Anolis sagrei: one gene and its partner. The protein of the gene in region 2 interacts with the protein of the main gene of each other region in a biochemical or structural test. Links are inferred from orthologs where the notes say so. Each region holds a gene or a part of one and is shown on either strand. Other genes may lie near its edges.

What was found.
Region 1: the proteins of CDC27 (region 2) and ANAPC4 form a complex in vitro, tested with the Homo sapiens proteins (2 studies listed by BioGRID). The link is inferred for Anolis sagrei from reciprocal best matches to the Homo sapiens genes CDC27 and ANAPC4.

What each region holds. Positions count from the first base shown.
Region 1 is NC_090025.1:112,826,291-112,837,473, forward strand, and holds the start of ANAPC4 (anaphase-promoting complex subunit 4), read left to right. Parts: upstream 1-5,710; 5' UTR 5,711-5,822; intron 5,823-7,553; 5' UTR 7,554-7,574; coding exon 7,575-7,682; intron 7,683-9,736; coding exon 9,737-9,842; intron 9,843-10,521; coding exon 10,522-10,654; intron 10,655-11,183. Other genes in the region: rRNA N6-adenosine-methyltransferase ZCCHC4, read left to right, coding at 908-1,029, 1,212-1,287, 1,688-1,739, 2,135-2,279, 3,709-3,820. UniProt on the Homo sapiens protein: Component of the anaphase promoting complex/cyclosome (APC/C), a cell cycle-regulated E3 ubiquitin ligase that controls progression through mitosis and the G1 phase of the cell cycle.
Region 2 is NC_090026.1:44,041,769-44,053,396, reverse strand, and holds the start of CDC27 (cell division cycle protein 27 homolog), read right to left. Parts: upstream 5,258-11,628; 5' UTR 4,969-5,257; coding exon 4,942-4,968; intron 1-4,941. UniProt on the Homo sapiens protein: Component of the anaphase promoting complex/cyclosome (APC/C), a cell cycle-regulated E3 ubiquitin ligase that controls progression through mitosis and the G1 phase of the cell cycle.

The DNA of each region.
Region 1 (11,183 bases), on a different chromosome or scaffold from region 2:
TGTTTTAACTCACTTTGCCACCACTGCCCTTATGGTAATGTAGATTTAAATAATCCAGTACAAAGCAGATAATGTGGATTATCTGATTGGATAATATCAAGGAGAAACCTTTACCTTTACAGTACCATATAATCCAGTTCACAACACATAATCTGGATTTTATATGGCAGTGTGGAAGGGGCCTTAATCTCACAATCTCTCTCTTTAAAATTAAATTTCTCAGTGGAGAATCGGAGTGCAACTGGGTTCCAGAATATGTAATCTTTTTTTGTCTCTAATGAAAGATAAAAATGTAAGAACAAACAAACAAATAAACAAATACAACATTGCACACAAGCTCCTAAGTATAGTAGACATCTTCATGGTAGTGATAGTTCTCAAAAATTAATTCTATACTTGCTGGATACTTCCAGTGCTGATTGCAACTTCTTACTACTGCTTTACCACCTCATCCTGAATACAACTTCGAAGTTAAGTCAATTTTGGTTTGGATTGGAGATTACTAGAAGCCTCCATGTAGGAAATAATCCTGCCTGAAAATTGGAGGGCCATGTAATTAAGTGTGGGTAACTGCAGCCTACCACCTTTTGTTAGGACTCCCATTTCTTAGAATCCCTTACCATTAGCTTTGGTATCTAAGGTTTGGAGGATTTTTATGTTTTTTGTTTTTTGTTTACTGATGTACTGTGCGCTTGGCCTCATGTAAGCCGCACCGAGTCTCTTGGGGAGATGGTAGCAGGGTATAAATAAAGTTGTTGTTATTATTATTATTATTATTATTATTATTATTATTATGCCAAACATATCTGGAGAGATACAAGTCCTTGTAATACTGGTTTGAAACTTTGTTTTTCATAGCAATATTTCTGCATCTCCCCCTCCCCTGCATCTTTTTTTAAAAATCTAGGTAGACTACGACAATCATGCACTTTATAAACATGGGAAGACGGGTCGTAAACAATCCCCAGTTCGTATTTTTACCAACCTTTCACCACGTTTGATCGTGCTTCCTACAGAGGAAGGATATAGGTAAGAAACATTTGATGATCCCCAGACTTCAAATATTATTTTTATTTTTTATAAAAATAACATTTATTTGGCTGAAGATATCAATTACAGAAATGTGTAATGCAATAGCCCTTGAAGCAGAAAAAAATATATACTTTCAACTATTTTCTCTCTCTCTCTTTCTCTCTCTCTCTCTATACCAGATTTTGCTCTGTCTGTCAGCGATATGTCAGTTTAGACAACCAGCACTGTGAAATCTGCAATTCGTGCACATCTAAAGTAAGTGTATGACTTTTGGAAGAGATTAATAACAGTTAAACTTTGATCTGGTTTAGAGAGATATGGAGTGGGTAAGCAAGTGGTTTCAAAGTGGAAGCTAAAACCTAAATACAGTTGCTAAAGAAATAATATATACTTGCTCCCTGTATGCATGTACCCTTTTCTCGTAAGAGAAATATGTTAGTGAAGTAATATATTTCTCCCTTCCAGTTGAGCATATATTTTTGGCATACACAAGGTGAAGGCTGCAGGGTAAAGGCTACAATAATATACATAGAGGACAAAGAGATTTTGTGCTTAAAGCATAACATAAATATCATAAGGCTAAATGGGAAATTCGTACAATTTAAGTCTAAATTCAGTACAAAGTTCATCTTTTCCTTTCTTTTTTTACAAATAGGATGGGAGACGATGGAGACATTGCTGTCTTTGCAAAAAATGTGTAAAACCCAGTAAGTATTTTTGACCTAATTTTCAGCACACAGGGCCCTTCTAAACAGCCATTTAACCCAGAATATCAAGACAGATAATCCACAATATCTGCTTTGAAGTGGGTTATCTGAGTCCACACTTCCATATAATCCAGTTCAATGTGGATTGTATATAGCTGTGCTGAAGGGGACACAGTAGTTCCTCAAAGGAAACAAATGTTAAACTGCTACTGAATGTTTTGCTGCAGGTTGCACTTGTAAGACATGGTTTTGAAATGCCTTTGAAAGGGAACTCTCTGGATCAATTGGGCCACAGTGATTGGAGAGGGCTGTTCTCTCTCATGCTTGGAATTGTCTTAGAGCTGTATGAACACTTTTTTTCTTTATAGCTCTAATGTGTTCCTTTTATTTTGCAGCTTGGGTTCACTGCAGCACTTGCGATAAATGTGCTCTTCCAAGTCACTCTTGTAAGGATACTGACACTGGGTGCTATATATGTGGAGCCGCAGACCATAAACGCACCACCTGCCCTAACCTGCAGGTAGACAGGAGAGGTTCCCAGTAAGTTTGTTATGTGAATTTTCCTCCCTTTCTTTGTGGGAACAAACAAGCTAATTTCCTTTTCATAAAAAAGGGCCTCATTGAATACTTGATATACTACAGCTATAGAAAGCTTTTTTCCACTTCACTAACACATTGAAAACTACATGTGACTCACACTCTTTGTGTACACATGTGTGTGCATGTATCTTTTAAAAAACTCAACTACGGTTACAGGTATGTTTGCTGCAAACACACAAGAAAGGAATATTTTACAAATCTCTCACAAGCTGCTATGTTTCGGTGTAAATATGCATTTATAGAATACTAGCTTGGGTACCTGGTTACTTGAAAAAGTCCATTTTTAATTGTACAAAATGCATAAGGTTGTGGGTGAACTACAATTCATCATGCAAATGTCCATCAGTACTTATTTGTTTTATGGGCAAGTTTGCTTAGGATGCATCATTGGTGAGATTCAGTGTGCTTTCTAACTGTAGGGTAAACTACAACTCTCACTATGGTTAGTCAGTCCCCTCAAACCCCTCCAGTAGGTTGAGTTAGTCACGGGGGTTCTGTGTGCCAAGTTTGGTCCAGGTCCATCATCGGTGGAGGCCACAGTTTCTCTGGTTGTGGGTGAACTACAACTTCCAGAAAGGAAAGTCAGTATTCCCCAAACCCCATAATCAAATAATGTTGCAATTGGCCACCTTGGTTAGCACTGAATGGCCATGCAGCTTCAAAGCCTGCCTGGGGTGCTTCCTGCCTGGGGGAACCCTTTGTTTGAGACACCCTCAGACAGTATCAGTTAACACCTCCCAAGCAAAGAATGCCCCCAGGCAGGAACCACCCATGCTTTGAAGGTGCAAGGCCATTCAATGCCAATCAAGGTGGCCAATTGCAACATTCCACAGATATATAACCTCACTTGCCTAGTTTCCAACGGACCTTGCAATCTCCGAGAATGCCTGCCATAGATGTGGGTGAAATATCAGGAGAGAACGCTTCTGGAATGTGACCATACAGTCTGCAAAATTCATAGCAGCCCAATATTTTATTTATTACCCACCTTTCTTTTTGACTTAAGACAAAATACATCTAAAAAATCACATTAAAACATAGTTAAAATGCAACCATAAAAGCATACATTTAAAAGATAAATATTTAAAAACACCTGAGACAAAGGTTAAAGCACAATAATCAGAGAATGTGATTTAAAAGTCATAGTCTCAATTGTTTTGAAATTGCTAAAGTTGTATTAGAATACTCTTTGTGTGTTCCTAATCGCCCCCTTACAGTACTTTCCAGGATCATACAAGAAACTTCACAATAGTGCTGTGAGCTTTAGAATTATTTTTTTTTAAAAAAGACCTGGAACTTTTAACTATTTGTTGAAGTCATATTTCCAGTTTTAACAAATGGCACAATTTTTACATTTTCTTCTTTTCAGAAGTGGCAAAAAGACAAAGAAAAAGAAGAAGAAGAAGGCAAGAGCAAATGTTGCCAAAAGAAAAGGTGCAAAGAAGACAAAAACTGCAAGACATACAAAGAACAAAAAATAGAAAAACTCATCTTTGCAGCAGTGCTGTTATTAAGCAGCAATTTGAAAGACAGACTAAATTAGGGCTTTGTTTTTGTACATATTGTACTTTTCACTAAAAAAGGCATAAAAAGACTTCGCAAAAAAGTTCAGCTTGCTAATGTGCTAAAAGTAAACACTATTATATGTTTATAGCCACATACACTATTCAGTGTTTTGCGGGTGAATTTGGAGAATTCAGTGCAATTCAATCATATTGTATAAAGGTGAATATGTGTATTTTTGTATTTAAAAAATTGCCTCTTTGGTGCCATCTTCATTTTTGTTCATCACTTGGGAGGATTTGAATACTCTGAATTGCTAAGAAGAAGTTGCAAAGTACTATAAGACATAGGACATTAACCACTTATCCCTAAAGCCAATCTGAGGGGCAAAGGCTGGATTGACCTATGATAGCTTAGACCTGCCTTTCCTTTTCAATCTCTCTGTCCAGCATCAAACCAAGTGATGACTGCCCAATACAAATATATACACATATAAATGTAGTGGTTTTTTAAATGCCACTGGAGAGTTCCTTTCGAAGTGGTTGATTTGTGATGGCCTTGATAGTATTCCATTTGCATTTTGCAAAGATGCTGCCTCTCCCCAAACCGACCTGAACTGTTTCACAGTAACTTTGTAATCTTCACATATCTTCTCATTATGGCATTATTTCATCACAGGGATAGATAGAACTATGTAACACAATTTTTGTTCCTGGGTTATAAATGTCATTTCCTAACTTGTTCTATTATAAAAACATGGAAAACTAAACTGTAAGGAACATGAAAGGCACTGCAGACTAATTCAACCAGATAAGTCAAGCCATAGCAGAGCACTTGATGAACCAACCTGGACACAGCATATTTTTTAAGAACACAGAAATGCTGGACCACTCAAACAACCGCTACACAGATAAGCCACTGAAATCCACAAGCATGTGGACAATTTCAACAGAAAGGAGGAAACCATGACATTGAACAAAATCTGTCTACCAGTATTAAAAAACACTCTAAAACCAGGACAGTTAATAAAGAATAACGCGCAGTAAACGGGAATTCCAGACAAGAAACAATCAGGGCCAGCTAATGCCTCCCAACAAAGGATTCCCCCGGGCAGAAAGCAGCCAGGCTTTGAAGCTGCAAGGCTTTTGTTTATTTGTTCAGTTGCTTCTGACTATTGGTGACCTCACGGACCAGCCCATGCCAGAGCTCCGTGGCCACCCTCAGGTCCTTCAAGGTCAAGTCAGTCACTTCAAGGATACCATTCATCCATCTTGCCCTTGGCCGACCCCTCTTCCTTTTTCCTTCCATTTTCCCTGGCATCATGATCTTCTCCAAAATTTCCTGTCTTCTCATTATGTGGCCAAATTACTTCATCTTGCCTCTAATATCCTTCCCTCCAGTGAGCAGTTGGAGGTATCAAGGTAGCCAATTGCAACATCCACACTTGCCCCCAACAGACAAGAGTTCTTTCTCCTACCTAGGACATTCCATAGACATATAAACCTCACTTGCCTTGTTTCCAACAGGCCTCAGCAGTTTAACCCACTGCACCACCAAACTGAATCCATACTGTAGAATTAATGTAGACTGGCACCATTTGGACTGCAATGGGATATAATTTTGGGATTTGCAGTTTGGTACAGCTCCAGCATTCTCTGGCAGAGAAGACTGAAGAACCTACTAAAACTCCAACTCCCAGGATTCCCTAGCATTGAGCCACTTCAGTTAAAGTGGGGTCAGGCTGCATTAATTCTGCAATGCAGATGCATCCTCAGAACCTTCCAAAGACAAGAGATCTGATCCTTCTGAAAGGCATACTTTCTAAGGATGCAGTTTGGCCTTTCGACCTCTAGATGGCGCAAGGCAAACCCTCTTACAGGAAGTGCTGGATGGTGATGCTTCTGCTTGCAAAAGCCCGGGAAGGAAGTGGAGCTGTGTTTCATTGCAGAGCAGAGTGACAACCGGGAAGGAGAAAAGAGGGTATGATGTGGTTGGATTGGTCACATTTTTCAAAATAGGATGCTTCTGTTCGATTCCTTGCAGGCACCTCTCCATCAGGGAGTTCTCTCTTACAAAGAGATTTAATTAAACAGGTTGAGGATCCCTGTTGCTAAATTTTGGTGACTGCAACAGCAGTGGACTCGAATTGAAACTGGCATGAGGTGCTATATTGCAGAGAAAAGCCATTGCAAACCACCTTTCAGTCGTCCTTGCCTGAGATCCCTTCTACACAGCCCTATATCCAAGGATATGATCCCAGATTATCTGCTTTGAACTGCATTTCCATCTACGAACCCGCATGTTCTCTTCGGTCATCTGGAGAGGCCCTGCTCGTGATCCCACCGGCGTCGCAAGCGCGCTTGGTGGGGACGCGGGACAGGGCCTTTTCCGTGGTGGCCCCCCGACTCTGGAACACCCTCCCCAAAGACCTTAGACAGGCCCCTACATTGGCTGTCTTCAGAACTTGAAGACCTGGCTTTTCCGATGCGCCTTCCCAGATTAGGAAATCTCCACTACCAAGTCCCATAAGCACTTTATCAGAACCAATGATTGCTGCACATCGCACTTTCCCTGGAAGCCCTATATACACCTCCTGTCACATCAGCACTTTTAATCTTGTACCCATTGCTCTGGCCCGGCCCAGTTTTATTGTGTTTAGTGTATTGTGCCTGTTGTTTATTTTGCTTTATTCTGTTTTTAATTGTTTGATTTGCTTAGATTGTATTGTTGTGTTGTGTGTTGAGGCCTCGGCCTGTGTAAGCCGCATCGAATCCTTCGAGAGATGCTAGCGGGGTACAAATAAAGTTTAATAATAATAATAATAATAATAATAATAATGTGAGTCTACACTGCCAGATAATCTGGGATAAGAAGATAATCTGGAATCAGTTCCTGGGGCAGTATAAATCTAGCCCAAGAAAACTTTGTGAGATTCTTAGGATTGCCATTAATTGACAGCTTGATATAGACAAATATATTCACAAACACAATGGCTGGAATCCTGATTGTCTAAATTTGAGATGGCCTGTTGAATCAACAGCTAAGTGATCCAACTTGTAAGTAAATAAAATTATTATTTATTTATTTCAGACATTTATATCCTGTCCTATCTCGACCTCCGCAGAGGGACTCGGCGGCTGACAACAAAAGCATAAATATACATCTTAGATTTTAAAAAATTATAAAACATCATAAAAACAGTAAAGCAATTGATTCAGTGGACCTACTCTAGGTTGGGCTAGCAAATTTAGGCCAATCTTGTCTATCATGTGGCATGGAGGAACCTGGGATGAGAACCTTTGGTGGTTAATAAATACTAGAAGAAATATTAGATGCATATTCAGGATTCTTTGCCACCAATACATAAAGGGAAGAGTGGATAAATATGCATTCTTCTCAATAGAAAGTTAGCTTTGATATTTCTGTTTTGGCATTCGTTTAAATATGTTGTGTTAATAAGGAGCCTTTGTGATGCAATGGGTTAAACTTCAAATCTGGGGAGTGGATGAGTTCCCATCTGTCAGCTCCAGCTTCTCGTGTAGAGACATCAAAGAAGCCTCCCACAGTATGGTAAAACATCCGGTCGTCCCCTTTGGAAATGTCTTTGCAGACGACCAATTCTCTCACACCAGAAGCGACTTGCAGTTTCTCGAGCTGCTCCTGAAATGGAAAAAAAATAACCAAAACCTGGGCTGTATCTTTTTATTTTAGGGAATTGCCACATCTGCAGCCATGCCTGCATTCCGGCAGGTTGGGGAGAAGCAACTGCCTCAAGAGATCATTTTCATGGCCTGGTCTCCCAAGAGGGATCTGATTGCCTTGGCCAACAAAGTTGGAGAGGTAAGGAAAGGGAACAGTGCTAAGAACCAATATATGTGGAAAGGATGGAGTGCTGAATGGGCCTGCTCTCTTTTACATTTTGTTACATGTAAAATCAGTTGTATTCTCTCCACATCCTTAGTAGATATAGCATGACATATTCATATTATAGAAAGTAACTGCAATTTGATATATATTAATAATACTATGTAACAAAATTGGAAAAAGTAAATCTGTTTCTAGCTTGAAAGTGTTATTTTCTGTTTAATTCTGTGGCACTTTGAAAGTAGTTGTTATACTCCAGAAACTTGGAGTATGTTTTTTTTTCCCCCGGCAATTGAATGTTTGCCTTATATGTTGGAAACCGGCCTGAGTCCCTTCAGGGAGATAGGATGGTATACAAATACAGTTTTATTATAGTTCTATTAAAGTTTGTTTTTTTGGCTGCCACAAATGAATTGGTTGAGATTCAGTGAGATATTCATTGAAAAACTATTGCAAAATGTGCTGCAGGGAGTTCTGCAAAAACAAAGTTTTTGTAATGTGTTGTCGAAGGCTTTCTTGGCTAAAATCACTGGGTTGCTATGAGTTTTCCAGGCTGTCTCGCCATGTTCCAGAAGCATTCTCTCCTGACTTTTTGCCCACATTTATGGCAGGCATCTTCAGAGGTCGTGAGGTCTGTTGGAAACTAGGCAAGTGAGGTTTATATATCTGTGGAATGTCCAGGGTGGGAGAAAGAACAATTGTTTGTTTAAGGCAAATGTGAATTTTGCAGTTGGTTACCTTCCATAGATGTGGGCGAAACGTCAGGCAAGAATGCTTCTGGAACATGCCCATACAGCCTGGAAAACTCACAGCAAACTGGACACCACTTTTTAAATCCAAGAGAACATCCCTTTATGAATGTCTAGGTCCTCTAGCACAACTTTGTGATCAACTTCCGTCAGGAGAACATATTACTTAAATCCATAAATAATAAAATCCACAAAAGGTCAACTCACAAGGGTGGAAGGGTCATCATAGAGTTGGTAGAGACCACAAGGGCCATCCAATTACCTTGTATTTGTTTAAGATGAGTTTGACCGTAACATTATGTAGTACAATTTTTGTTTTCTAAATGTCGTTTCCTAACTGGTTCTATCATAAAAACATGGAAAAGGTTGATTATCTTGCAGTAGATTTTGCTATAGTTTTTCAATAAATATCTCACTGAGTCTCAACCAATTCAACATAATTTGTGGCAACCACAAAAACAACATTTCTGAACTATAACAACTACTTTCGTACCACACAATTAAACAGGAAATAACCCTTTCACACCAGGAGCAACATTTTTTCAAATTTTGATACATCGTGTAATTTGGCACTGCACATTGACAATGTCATACTGCCATGGAAATCGATGCAGATTTTCTAAAACATTTTTTTTTGTTAGGATACATTTGTAATATTATGTTGCCATAATAGATGATGCTGGCTGCTGTAGAATTGTATTGTCGAAGGCTTTAATGGCTGGAATCACTGGGTTGTTGTAGGTTTTTTTCGGGCTATATGGCCATGTTCTAGAGGCATTCTCTCCTGACATTTCGCCTGCATCTATGGCAAGCATCCTCAGAGGTCGTGAGGTCTGTTGGAACTAGGAAAATGGGTTTATATATCTGTGGAAAGACCAGGGTGGGACAAAGGACTCTTGTCTGCTGGAGCTAGGTGTGAATATTTCAACTGACCACCTTGATTAGCATTTGATACCCTGGCAGTGCCTGGAGCAATCTTTTGTTGAGAGGTGATTAGATGTCCCTGATGGTTTTCCCTTCGCTGTTTTGCTGTTTTCATTTTAGAGTTTTTTAATATTGGTAGCCAGATTTTGTTCATTTTCATGGTTTCCTCCTTTTTGTTGAAATTTTCCACATGCTTGTGTATTTCAATGGCTTCTCTGTGTAGTCTGTAGAATTTTAATGCATTTTTCCTGCTGTTAGGTGCTCTGAAAATACCTCTCTCTTTTGTACTCGTTTGTTTTATTTTCTCTGGAGGCAGATAGTTTAAATACTTTCATTTCATTTCCCAACATTTCTTAGGTTTTACTTCACCGTCTTGCAAACTTTCAACGAGTCTGGAGTCTGCCACCAAGTGACAGCACAGGGAAAGATGTGACGGCCCTCGCATGGAGACCAGATGGCAAAAGTAAGATGTAACAAATGACCCTTTGTATCATGAATTACACTATGTAACGAAATTTGTAAATTATTCTGTTCCTGGTTTGAAAGTGTTATTTCCTGTATAATTGTGCAGTACTTACTTTGAACTCCGTGTTTGTGGCTGCTACAAACTATGTTGAATTAATTGAGGCTCAATGAGATATTCACTGAAAAACTATAGCAAAATATACAGCAGTTTTTTCAGTTTAATAAACTTTTCCCATGTTTTTATGATAAAACCAATTAGGAAATAACATTTATAACCCAAGAACAAAAATCGTTTTACATAGTGTTATGTTTTAAGTGAAATTGTGCTCTTAAGGCACATGTCATCCGTTCACTGCATAAGATGCATCCTGCTTGCCAGTCTTTAAAAGAAAAAAAAAACAATTTTGTTTAATATAAAAAAATATTTTTTTTGTTTTCTTAGTATACATCAATACCTTCATACTCTTATATTCCATCCTTAATTCATTCCGTCAACTATAAGTGTATATCAAAAATTATGACTAATGGATTTGCCTTATATTCCAGACTACATTTGTATACTGATTGTATTTCACATAAAAAATGCATTTCTTGTAACCGTTTCTAAAGTCTGCTGCTTGCAGTTAATATTTGTTAAGTGCACTATATATTTTCATGTTTTACCTTTCCTTCCATAGTTTTGGCTTTTGGACTTGCTGATACCAAGAAAGTCATCCTGTGTGATGTGGAGAAACCAGAGAGCTTGCATTCTTTCTCAGTGGATTCTCCTATTACTTACATGCACTGGATGGAAGTTACAGAAGAAAACAGGTAGGCAGGAGACAGGCTCGTAGCGAGGATTTTGGTTCGGGGGGAGGGGGGTGAGTTTGATTGGGGGGGGCTGAGTTTCATTTGGGGGGGCTGAGTTTGATTCGGGGCGGGTGGGGTCAGGATCTACCCTAGCAAATCTTTTGTATCGTTACCCCAATACCCCCATGCATATGGGATATATTGAGCATGGTGATCAGATCATGATATCAATAAACATAACAATTTAAATAATGTACCAGTAAGGCCTTCTTGCGGACACCCTGAGAATTTCAGGGGGGGCTGAAGCCCCCACCCCCAGCTACGGGCCTGGCAGGAGACAAATACTTATTGGTGCCCATTCATCCAATAACTTGTGTAACAAGAATTCCTTCCAGATGACCAAATCAGCCAGGCCAGTCCTGGAAACTCCTATAACCACCGTACCACACAAGAACCCAGGAATATAAGCAGTTTATTGTAAAAACATATAAAAAGCATATAAAATCAAGATAAGAAAGGAAGATATATAATTCAAAAAGGTTTAGCAAAA
Region 2 (11,628 bases):
CTCAAAGTTACATGATGTCATGTTAACAACGTAATGCTTTTTAATATGGAGATGAGGGATGGGGAGAAAGGCAGGACATAATTTTGGAGATTTGGGAGGGGGACTCAACCTGTAGTGACAATGTGTCATATTAATAACAAGGAGGTAATTTCGGAGATTTGGGGTGGAGACTTAGGCCCCTTCCACACTGCTGAATAAAATCCACATTGAAATGGATTATATGTCAACGTGGACTCAGAGAATCCAGTTCAAAGCAAGTATTGTGGATGATCTGCCTTGATATTCTGGGTGAGATGGCTTTGTGGAAGGGCCCTGATGTTTTATTGATAACTTAATGCTATTTAAGATGGAGATTAGGAATGGGAAGAAAGGCTGAACATAAATTTTGTGATTTGGGATATTGTGGATGATCTGCCATGATATTCTGCGTGATATGGCTGTGTGGAAAGGGCCCTGAAAGTTATCTGATGCCACGTTCATAACTTAATGCTTTTTCAGGTGGAGATTAGGAATGGGTAAGAAGGGCTGTATATCAATTTGGAGATTTGGGAGGGAGAGTCAACCTGCACTTACATGATTTCATATTAATAACAATCGTTTCTTTTAAATGTGGAGATGAGGGATGAGAAGAAAAGCGGGAGGTAATCTTGGGAGATTTCGGAGGGAGACTCAGGCCCCTTCCAAACAGGTATAAAATCCACATTGAACTGGATTATATGGCAGTTTGGACTTAGGGCCCTTCCACACTGCCATATATCCCAGTTCAAAGTGGATAATGTGGGGTTTTATTCAGCTATGTGGAAGTGGCCTCAGATAATCCAGTTCAAACAGGATATTTTGGATGATCTGCCTTGATATTCTGGGTGATGTGGCTGTGTGGAATGGCCCTGAAAGTCGCCTGATGTCATATTAATAACTTAATGCTTTTTAAGATGGAGATGAAGGATGGGGAGAAGGGCAGAACATAATTTCAGATATTTGGGAGGGAGACTTAACTTGTAATGATATGATGTCATACTAATACCAATTGTTTGTTTGTTTTAAATGTGGAGATGAGGAGAAAAGCAGGAGATAATTTTGGAGATTTAGGAGGGAGACTCAACCTGAAGTGATATGATGTCACATGAGTACAATGGTTTCTGATTGTGGAGATGAGAGATGAGGAAAAAAAGCAGGACATACTTTTGGAGATTTGGAAGGAAGACTCAGATGGCTTTGTGGAAGGGCCCTGATGTCTTATTGATAACTTAATGCTTTTTAAGATGGAGATTGGGAATGGGGAGAAAGGCTGAATATAAATTTTGTGATTTGGGATATTACGGATGATCTGCCATCATATTCTGGGTGAGATGGCTGTGTGGAAGGGCCCAGATGTCTTATTGATTACTTAATGCTTTTTACGATAAAGATTAGGAATGGGAAGAAAGGCTGAACATAAATTTTATGATTTAGGATGTCGTGGATGACCTGCCATGATATTCTGGGTGAGATGGCTGTGTGGAAGGACCCTGATGTCTTACTGGTAACGTAATGCTTTTTACGATAGAGATTAGAAATGGGGAGAAAGGCTGAACATACATTTTGTGATTTGGGATATTGTAGATGACCTGCCATGATATTCTGGGTGATATGGCTGTGTGGAAGGGCCCAGATGTCTTATTGATTACTTAATGCTTTTTACGATAAAGATTAGGAATGGGAAGAAAGGCTGAACATAAATTTTATGATTTAGGATGTCGTGGATGACCTGCCATGATATTCTGGGTGAGATGGCTGTGTGGAAGGACCCTGATGTCATATTGATAACTTAATGCTTTTTAAAACGGAGATTAGGAATGGGAAAAAAGGCAGGGCATAATTTCCAAGATTTGGGAGGGAGAACTCAAAACCTGTAGTGACAAGATGTCATTTTAATCACAATGCCTTCTTTTAAATGTGGAGATGAGGGATGGGCAGAAAGGCTGAACATAAATTTTGTGATTTGGGATATTGTGGATGACCTGCCATGATATTCTGGGTGAGATGGCTGTATGGAAGGGCCCTGATGTCTTATTGATAACTTAATGCTTTTTACGATAGAAATTAGGAATGGCTAGAAAGGTGAACATACATTTTATGATTTGGGATATTGTGGATGATCTGCCATGATATTCTGGGTGAGACGGCTGTGCAGAAGGGCCCATTATATTCTGGGTGGGATGGCTGTGTGGAAGGGCCCTGATGTCTTATTGATTACTTAATGCTTTTTACGATAGAGATTAGGAATGGGAAGAAAGGCTGAACATAAATTTTATGATTTGGGATATTGCGGATGATCTGCCATCATATTCTGGGTGAGATGGCTGTGTGGAAGGGCCCTGATGTCTTACTGGTAACGTAATGCTTTTTACGATAGAGATTAGAAATGGGGAGAAAGGCTGAACATACATTTTGTGATTTGGGATATTGTAGATGACCTGCCATGATATTCTGGGTGATATGGCTGTGTGGAAGGGCTCAGATGTCTTATTGATTACTTAATGCTTTTTACGATAAAGATTAGGAATGGGAAGAAAGGCTGAACATAAATTTTATGATTTAGGATGTCGTGGATGACCTGCCATGATATTCTGGGTGAGATGGCTGTGTGGAAGGACCCTGATGTCATATTGATAACTTAATGCTTTTTAAAACGGAGATTAGGAATGGGAAAAAAGGCAGGGCATAATTTCCAAGATTTGGGAGGGAGAACTCAAAACCTGTAGTGACAAGATGTCATTTTAATCACAATGCCTTCTTTTAAATGTGGAGATGAGGGATGGGCAGAAAGGCTGAACATAAATTTTGTGATTTGGGATATTGTGGATGACCTGCCATGATATTCTGGGTGAGATGGCTGTATGGAAGGGCCCTGATGTCTTATTGATAACTTAATGCTTTTTACGATAGAAATTAGGAATGGGAAGAAAGGCTGAATATAAATTTTGTGATTTGGGAGGTTGTGGATGACCTGCCATGATATTCTGGGTGAGATGGCTGTGTAGAAGGGCCCATGATATTCTGGGTGGGATGGCTGTGTGGAATGGCCCTGATGTCTTATTGATAACTTAACGCTTTTTACGATAGAGATTAGGAATGGGAAGAAAGGCTGAACATAAATTTTGTGATTTGGGATATTGTGGATGACCTGCCATGATATTCTGGGTGAGATGGCTGTGTAGAAGGGCCCATTATATTCTGGGTGGGATGGCTGTGTGGAAGGGCCCTGATGTCTTATTGATAACTTAACGCTTTTTACGATAGAGATTAGGAATGGGAAGAAAGGCTGAACATAAATTTTGTGATTTGGGATGTTGTGGATGACCTGCCATGATATTCTGGGTGAGATGGCTGTATAGAAGGGCCCATGATATTCTGGGTGGGATGGCTGTGTGGAATGGCCCTGATGTCTTATTGATAACTTAACGCTTTTTACGATAGAGATTAAGAATGGGAAGAAAGGCTGAACATAAATTTTGTGATTTGGGATGTTGTGGATGACCTGCCATGATATTCTGGATGAGATGGCTGTGTAGAAGGGCCCATGATATTCTGGGTGGGATGGCTGCGTGGAAGGGCCCAGATGTCTTATTGATAACTTAACGCTTTTTACGATAGAGATTAGGAATGGGGAGAAAGGCTGAACACAAATTTTGTGATTTGGGATATTGTGGATGGCCTGCCATGATATTCTGGGTGAGATGGCTGTGTAGAAGGGCCCATGATATTCTGGGTGGGATGGCTGCGTGGAAGGGCCCTGATGTCTTATTGATAATTTAACGCTTTTTACGATAGAGATTAGGAATGGGAAGAAAGGCTGAACATAAATTTTATGATTTGGGATGTTGTGGATGACCTGCCTTGATATTCTGGGTGAGATGGCTGTATAGAAGGGCCCATGATATTCTGGGTGGGATGGCTGTGTGGAATGGCCCTGATGTCTTATTGATAACTTAACGCTTTTTACGATAGAGATTAAGAATGGGAAGAAAGGCTGAACATAAATTTTGTGATTTGGGATGTTGTGGATGACCTGCCATGATATTCTGGATGAGATGGCTGTGTAGAAGGGCCCATGATATTCTGGGTGGGATGGCTGCGTGGAAGGGCCCAGATGTCTTATTGATAACTTAACGCTTTTTACGATAGAGATTAGGAATGGGGAGAAAGGCTGAACACAAATTTTGTGATTTGGGATATTGTGGATGGCCTGCCATGATATTCTGGGTGAGATGGCTGTGTAGAAGGGCCCATGATATTCTGGGTGGGATGGCTGCGTGGAAGGGCCCTGATGTCTTATTGATAATTTAACGCTTTTTACGATAGAGATTAGGAATGGGAAGAAAGGCTGAACATAAATTTTATGATTTGGGATGTTGTGGATGACCTGCCTTGATATTCTGGGTGAGATGGCTGCGTGGAAAGGGCCCTGAAAGTTGCCTGATGTCATGTTCATAACTTAATGCTTTTTCAGGTGGAGATGATGGATGGGGAGAAAGGCTGAACATAATTTTAGATATTTAGGAGGGTGAGTCTACCTGTAGTGCCATGATGTCATACTAATAACTTAATGTGTGTGCATGCTTTATGTGAAGAGCAACCCAGGAGAGGATCTGGAAGGTTTGGGAGGAGGGTGGGCGACGTTTTCCTGATCAGGGGTTAATGTTGAGGGCAGGAGGGGGGGGCAAGGACCCCCTTGAAGCCCTCCTTCCCTCCCTCCCTCCCTCCACATGGCTCCTTCCAGCCTCTTGGGAGAAGGTCCTGGGCGAAGAGTTCCACGGGAGGCACTTCCCTGGCTCGGCAGCAGCCTTTTCCCGGCGGGGAGGCGGAGGGAGAGGCTCCTCGGCCGGCTGGCCTGCCTGCCTGCTTCCTCCCGCCGCCCGGCGTAGGCCTCTCTCTCTCTCTGGCCCGCGGGGTCCCTACCTGGACGGGTTCCTGCAGCACCGTCATCCTCCCCGGCTTCCCCTCAGGGACAGGACCCGGATGAGGGAGGTGGGCCCAGGGCGCCCCCTCCTCTCTCTGTTCCCCCCTCAGACTCCGCCTCCGTGGGTGACGCGGGAATAGTAGTAGTAGTAGTAGTTGTACTTGTAGTAGTAGCAGCGGCCACCCGCACCCCGTCTCATTTAAACTGGCTGCGACCGTTAACCGGGCCGCGCAGGAGGGAAAGGGAAAGGAAGGAAGGGAAGGCCCCGGCCCGTCAGGAGCCGAATCTTCCCGAGCCGCCGACGGAAAGGCACGGAAAGACCCGACCTCGGCGAGGCCTCCTCCTCCGCGCTTTTCCGAGCGGACACGGAATGAGCCGAACGCGTCCCGAACGCCTCCACGGAAAGAGCCGAAAGGAGACGAAGGCTTCCCAACGCCTGCCCCCAAGCGGCCGCGGACTCGTCCTTCTTCGCCCCGTTTGACGTAAGTCGCCGAAGTGGCGCGAAACGGCCCTGCTTTGAAATGGGAGAGAAAAAAAGAATCTCCATCTTGAAAATATGTTTAGGAGTCATTGTCTCTCATCATATAGGTATGACATTTGGCCTGAATGGTGTAATTAATGTATGCATATGGTAAACATGCATCAAAATAAGCGTTTGCAGTGGGAAACGAGAATACCCGGAAGTAATGTATGGGTAAGATAAACATGCCTCCTAATAAGCGTTTACAGTGGGACACGAGAATATCCGGAAATAAACGAAGACGTTCGGCGCCTGTTACGGAAATAGACGAAGTGGGTCGAGGCAAAAAAAATACCCGATTGCTGTCAATACCTTTCCCCTTGAGTATTGGGAGTTGGAATAGGACAACCTGCCGAGCAGGATTTTGTGCTTACAACAGGTTGTTTCACCTACAAACACCCCACCCAGAAGCAGAGTGTTTCCAGCCTTCCTGAACTGGAAACAACCCATTGAATGTGTTGTTGAAAGCTTTCATATCCGGGTTGCTGTGAGCACCACCTCCAGAGCCAGAAAGGAAAGGAGAAGCCTTTGCTTTTGTTTATGCATTTGTTGTCTCATTGTCTGTCATTGTAATCAAGGTATTGAATGTTTGCCTGTGTCTGTTTACACACACACACACACATATTTATTTCGGTTGCTTCTACCCCGCCCTTCTCACCCCGGAGGGGACTCAGGGCGGCTTACAAAAGCAACGCACAATTCGATGCCCGCATCACATAACAGCAATAAGACAAATAACATCAGGTAACAGAAACGGCAATTCTAGCAGTAACATCAATTAATAGAGACAGTAATTATTGTAAGGCAAAAACAACCATAAAAGCAGTAAAACCAATACAAACCATTCTTCTCATTGACGGTCAGCGTTTCGCAATCTCATAGTTCAAATTCCAATCCACAATTGTCAGTCCTTTCAGTCCTATCCATCTGGTTGTCCAAATCTAATTGTCACATTGCCCAAAGGCCTGGTCCCACAGCCACGTCTTTACCTTCCTCCTGAAGGAGAGGAGAGGATGCCCTAATTTCCCCCGTGAGTGAGTTCCACAGGTGAGGGGCCACCACTGAGAAGGCCCTGCTCCTCGTCCCCACCAGCCTCACTTGTGAAAGCGGTGGGGTCGAGGGTAAGGCCTCCCCAGATGATCTCACATTACGGGGCGGGACGTAGAGGGAGATACGTTCGGACAGATACACTGGACCGGAATCGTAAAAGGTTTTGTAGGTCAAAACCAGCACCTTGAATTGTGCTCGGAACTGAACCGGCAGCCAGTTGAGCTGACACAGCAGGGGGGTGGTGTGCTCCCTGTATGTCGCTCTGATGACCAATCTGGCTGCCGCTCGCTGGACCAGTTGAAGTTTCCGAACAGTCTTCAAGGGCAACCCCACGTAGAGTGTGTTGCAGTAGTCTATTCGGGATGTAACAAGAGCGTGGACCACTGTGGTCAGATCAGACTTCCCAAGGTACGGGAACACACACACACACACACACACACACACTGTAATCCACTCTGAGTCCCCTCAGAATATAAATATAAATAAAGGCAGAATATACATATAAATAAAGGCAGTTTATAAACAAAGTGTTGTTGTTGTTGTTGTTGTTGTTGTTGTTGTTGTTGTTGTTGTTGTTATCTCCCTCTTTTCCCCTCTTCCCTGGTAAGAGAACTATGCAAAACTGTATTGAAATAACATTTTTTTCTAATCTGCCACTGGAGGAGAACCTTTGCACCTACGTTTTCTTTATTAATGAACAGTCAGGGAAGAGGACTCATATGTACAAGAATCAAGCACCCAAAGAAACGTGAACTATATAAAATGTGCTTGAGAAACTGTTGGAGTGTTGAACATCCAGGAAGCCAAGCCTCTTTAGAGATGTAATTGAAGTGTTTGCATAAGCGTTGTCTTTTGTCTCTGTCACCTAGACTATTTCAGATCATTTTCCAAGTCTTGCCCCATTTCTCCTAGGACAGTGCTTCTCAACCTGGGGGTTGGGACCCCTGGGGGGGGGTCACGAGGGAGTGTCAGGGGGGTCACCAAAGACCATCTGAAAACATAGGATTTTCTGTCGGTCATAGGGGTTCCGTGTGGGAAGTTTGGCCCAAGTCTATCATTGGTGGGGATCAGAATAATCTTTTATTGTAGGTGAACTGGGGGGGGGGGGGTCACGAGGGAGTGTCAGGGGGGTCGCCAAAGACCATCTGAAAACATAGGATTTTCTGTCGGTCATAGGGGTTCCGTGTGGGAAGTTTGGCCCAAGTCTATCATTGGTGGGGATCAGAATAATCTTTTATTGTAGGTGAACTATAAATCCCAGCAACTACAACTCCCAAATGCCAAGGTCTATTTTCCCCAAACTCCACCAGTGTTCATTCACATTGGGCATGTTGACTATTCATGGCAAGTTTGGTCCAGATCCATCATTGTGTGAGTCCATAGTGCTCTCTGGATATAGGTGAACTACAACTCCAAACCTCAAGGCCCACCAAACCCTTCCAGTATTTTCTGTTAGTCAAGAAAATTCTGTGTGGCAAGATTGGTTCAATTCCATTGTTGGAGTTCATAATGCTCTTTGATTGTAGGTGAACTATAAATCTCAGCCACTTCAACTCCCAAATGACAACATCAATCCCCTGCCAACCCCACCAGTATTCAAATTGGGGCATATCAGGTATTTGTGCCAAATTTGGTCCAGCGAATGAAAATACATCCTGGATATCATATATTTATATTATGATTCATAACAGTAGCAAAATTGTAGTTGTGAAGTAGCAACAGAAATAATGTGATGGTTGGGGGCCACCACAACATGAGGAACTGTATTAAGGGGTCGCGGCATTAGAAAGGTTGAGAACCACTGTCCTAGGAGGATCTTCCAAATGGTTCCAGCTTCAAGTGGACGAATAGCAGCTTTCCATTTTTCCCACCACAAGGGAGACTCCATGCACCCCTGACATCACACAGAGTCCCCAGCTCAGATCCTTACTTGACTATTCCTGAGCCAATCAGGGAAGGGAGTAGGTCTTCTGAATGGCTGCCAATGGGGATAAAATGCTTTGCACTGTATTATATGTTATACTAGCTTGGGGACCCGGCGTTGCCCGGGTTATTAGAGAAAGTGGGTAATAGCGGTTCTGTATGCCAAGTTTGGTCTTTATTGGTCTTTGGATAACAGCTGCATTATTTTCAGGAAGTGAGTGAAGGTACTTGAAGTCCCATCATCCATGGGCCATCCTCCTACAAACAGCAGCAGGATATAGAGTGGGTCATGGGGGCTCTGTGTGCCAAGTTTGGCCTTTATCAGTCATTAGATGAGGGTGGCAGTGGTGTCAGTAAGTGAGTGAAGGTACTGCAAGTCCCATCATCCAAAGTCCATCCCCTTTCAAACTGCAGCAGACTGTAGAGTGGATCATGGGGGCTCTGTGTGCCAAGTGTGGTCTTGATTGGTCATTAGAAGAGGGTTGCAGCAATTTTTGCAAGGGAGTGGAGGTACTTGAAGTCCCATCATCCATGGTCTGTCCTCCTCCAAACTGCAGCAAGATGTAGAGTGGGTCATTGGAGCTCGATGTGGCAAGTTTAGTCTTGAGTAGTCATTGGCGAGGGTCTCAGTGGTCTCAGGAAGTGAGCAAAGGTACTGCAAGTCCCATCATCCATCTCCAAATTTTTCCAAACAACACCAGGACGTAAAGTGGGTCATGAGAGGTCTATGTGCCAAGTTTGGTCTTGATCCGTCATTGGATGAGGTTTGCAGAGGTCTCAGAATGTGAGTGAACGTACTGGAAGTTCCATCATTCATGGTCCACCCTTCTTCAAAACTGCAGCAGGATGTAGAGTGGGTCATGGGGGCTCTGTGTGCCAACGTTGGTCTTGATTGGCCATTAGATGAATTTTGCAGCAGTCTTGGGTAGTGGAGGTACTTGAAGTCCCATCATCCATGGTCTGTCGTCCCCCAAACTGCTCCGGGATGTAGAGTGGGTCATTGAAGCTCCATGTGCCAAGTTTAGTCTTGATGAATCATTGGCGAGGGTCTCAGTGGTCTCAGGAAGTGAGTGAAGTGACTGCAAGTCCCATCATCCACTGTCAGATTCTTCCAAACCGCACCAGGATGTAGAGTGAGTTATGCAGGCTCTCTGTGTAAATTGTGGTCCTGATCCATCATCGTTGGCAGTTGTAATGGTCTTAGGAAGGGAGTGCAGGTATTGGAAGTCCCATCGTCCATGGTGCATCCTCCTTCAAACTGCACTTGGATGTAGAATGCGTCATGGAGACTCAGTGTGCCAAGTTTGGTATTTATTGGTAATTGGATGAGGGTTGCAGTGGTATGAAGAATTGAGCAATGGTACTGCAAGTCCCATAATCCATGGTCCATCCCCGGCCAAACCACACCAGGACGTAAAGTGGGTCATGAGTGGTCTATGTGTGAAGTTTGGCCCTGATCAGTCATTGGCTAAGGTTAACAGCGGTCTCAGAATGTGAGTGGTGGTACTGCAAGTCCCATCATCCATGGTTCATAGTCCTCCAAACTGCAGTAGGATGTAGAGTGGGTGATGGGGGCTCTGTGTGCCTATTTCGGTCTGTATTGGGAGTGTTCTGACCCAGCCCCCTTTGGCCTTTCCTTTCCTCTCTTTGTCATCTCGGAATGTTGGATTTGAGGCTGGCCAATCAGAGACCATATGCAAATTTCCTTCTGTCATGCCCTGTTTCTGCCATGAACCCTCTTCTCCACCAGGGGCTCCTATTGAAGCTGCCCAATCAGAGACCATATGCAAATAGCACCACAGCGGCAGCCAATCAGAACGCTGGCACATACACCGCCCTCCACAATTCCTCTGTCCTATACAAACAAACACTCTTCTTTATTATATACTAGCTTGGGGACCCGGCGCTGCCCGGGTTATTAGAGAAAGTGGGTAATGGCGGTTCTGTATGCCAAGTTTGGTCTTTATTGGTCATTGGATAATGGCTGCATTGTTTTCAGGAAGTGAGTGAAGGTACTTGAAGTGCCATCATCCATGGCCCATCCTCCTACAAACAGCAGCAGGATATAGAGTGGGTCATGGGGGCTCCGGTTGCAAGTTTGGTCTTTATCAGTCATTAGATGAGGGTGGCAGTGGTGTCAGTAAGTGAGTGAAGGTACTGCAAGTCCCATCATCCAAAGTCCATCGTCTTTCAAACAGCAGCAGAATGTAGAGTGGATCATGGGGGCTCTATGTGGCAAGTTTGGTCTTGATTGGTCATTAGAAGAGGGTTGCAGCAATCTTCGGAAGGGAGTGGAGGTACTTGAAGACCCATCATCCATGGTCTGTCCTCCAAACTGCACCAGGATGTAGAGTGGGTCATTGGAGCTCCATGTGGCAAGTTTAGTCTTGATTAGTGATTGGCGAGGGTCTCAGTGGTCTCAGGAAGTGAGCAAAGGTACTGCAAGTCCCATCATCCATCTCCAAAGTTTTCCAAACAACACCAGGACGTAACGTGGGTCATGAGAGGTCTATGTGCCAAGTTTGGTCTTGATCCGTCATTGGATGAGGTTTGCAGAGGTCTCAGAATGCGAGTGAAGGTACTGGAAGTTCCATCATCCATGGTCCACCCTTCTCCAAAACTGCAGCAGGATGTAGAGTGGGTCATGGGGGCTCTGTGTGCCAACTTTGGTCTTGATTGGTCATTAGATGAGTTCTGCAGAAGTCTTGGGGAGTGGAGGTACTTGAAGTCCCATCATCCATGGTCTGTCCTCCTCCAAAGTGCACCAGGATGTAGAGTGGGTCATTGGAGCTCCATGTGCCAAGTTTAGTATTGATGAGTCATTGGCGAGGGTCTCAGTGGTCTCAGGAAGTGAGTGAAGTGACTGCAAGTCCAATCATCCATTGTCAAATTCTTCCAAACCGCACCAGGATGTAGAGTGGGTCATGCTGGGTCTCTGTGTAAATTGTGGTCCTGATCCATCATTGTTGGCTGTTATAATGGTCTTAGGAAGGGAGTGCAGGTATTGCAAGTCCCATCGTCCATGGTGCATCCTCCTTCAAACTGCACCTGGATGTAGAGTGCGTCATGGAGACTCAGTGTGCCAAGTTTGGTATTTTTTGGTAATTGGATGAGGGTTGCAGTGGTCTGAAGAATGAGCAATGGTACTGCAAGTCCCATAATCCATGGTCCATCCTCAGCCAAACCACACCAG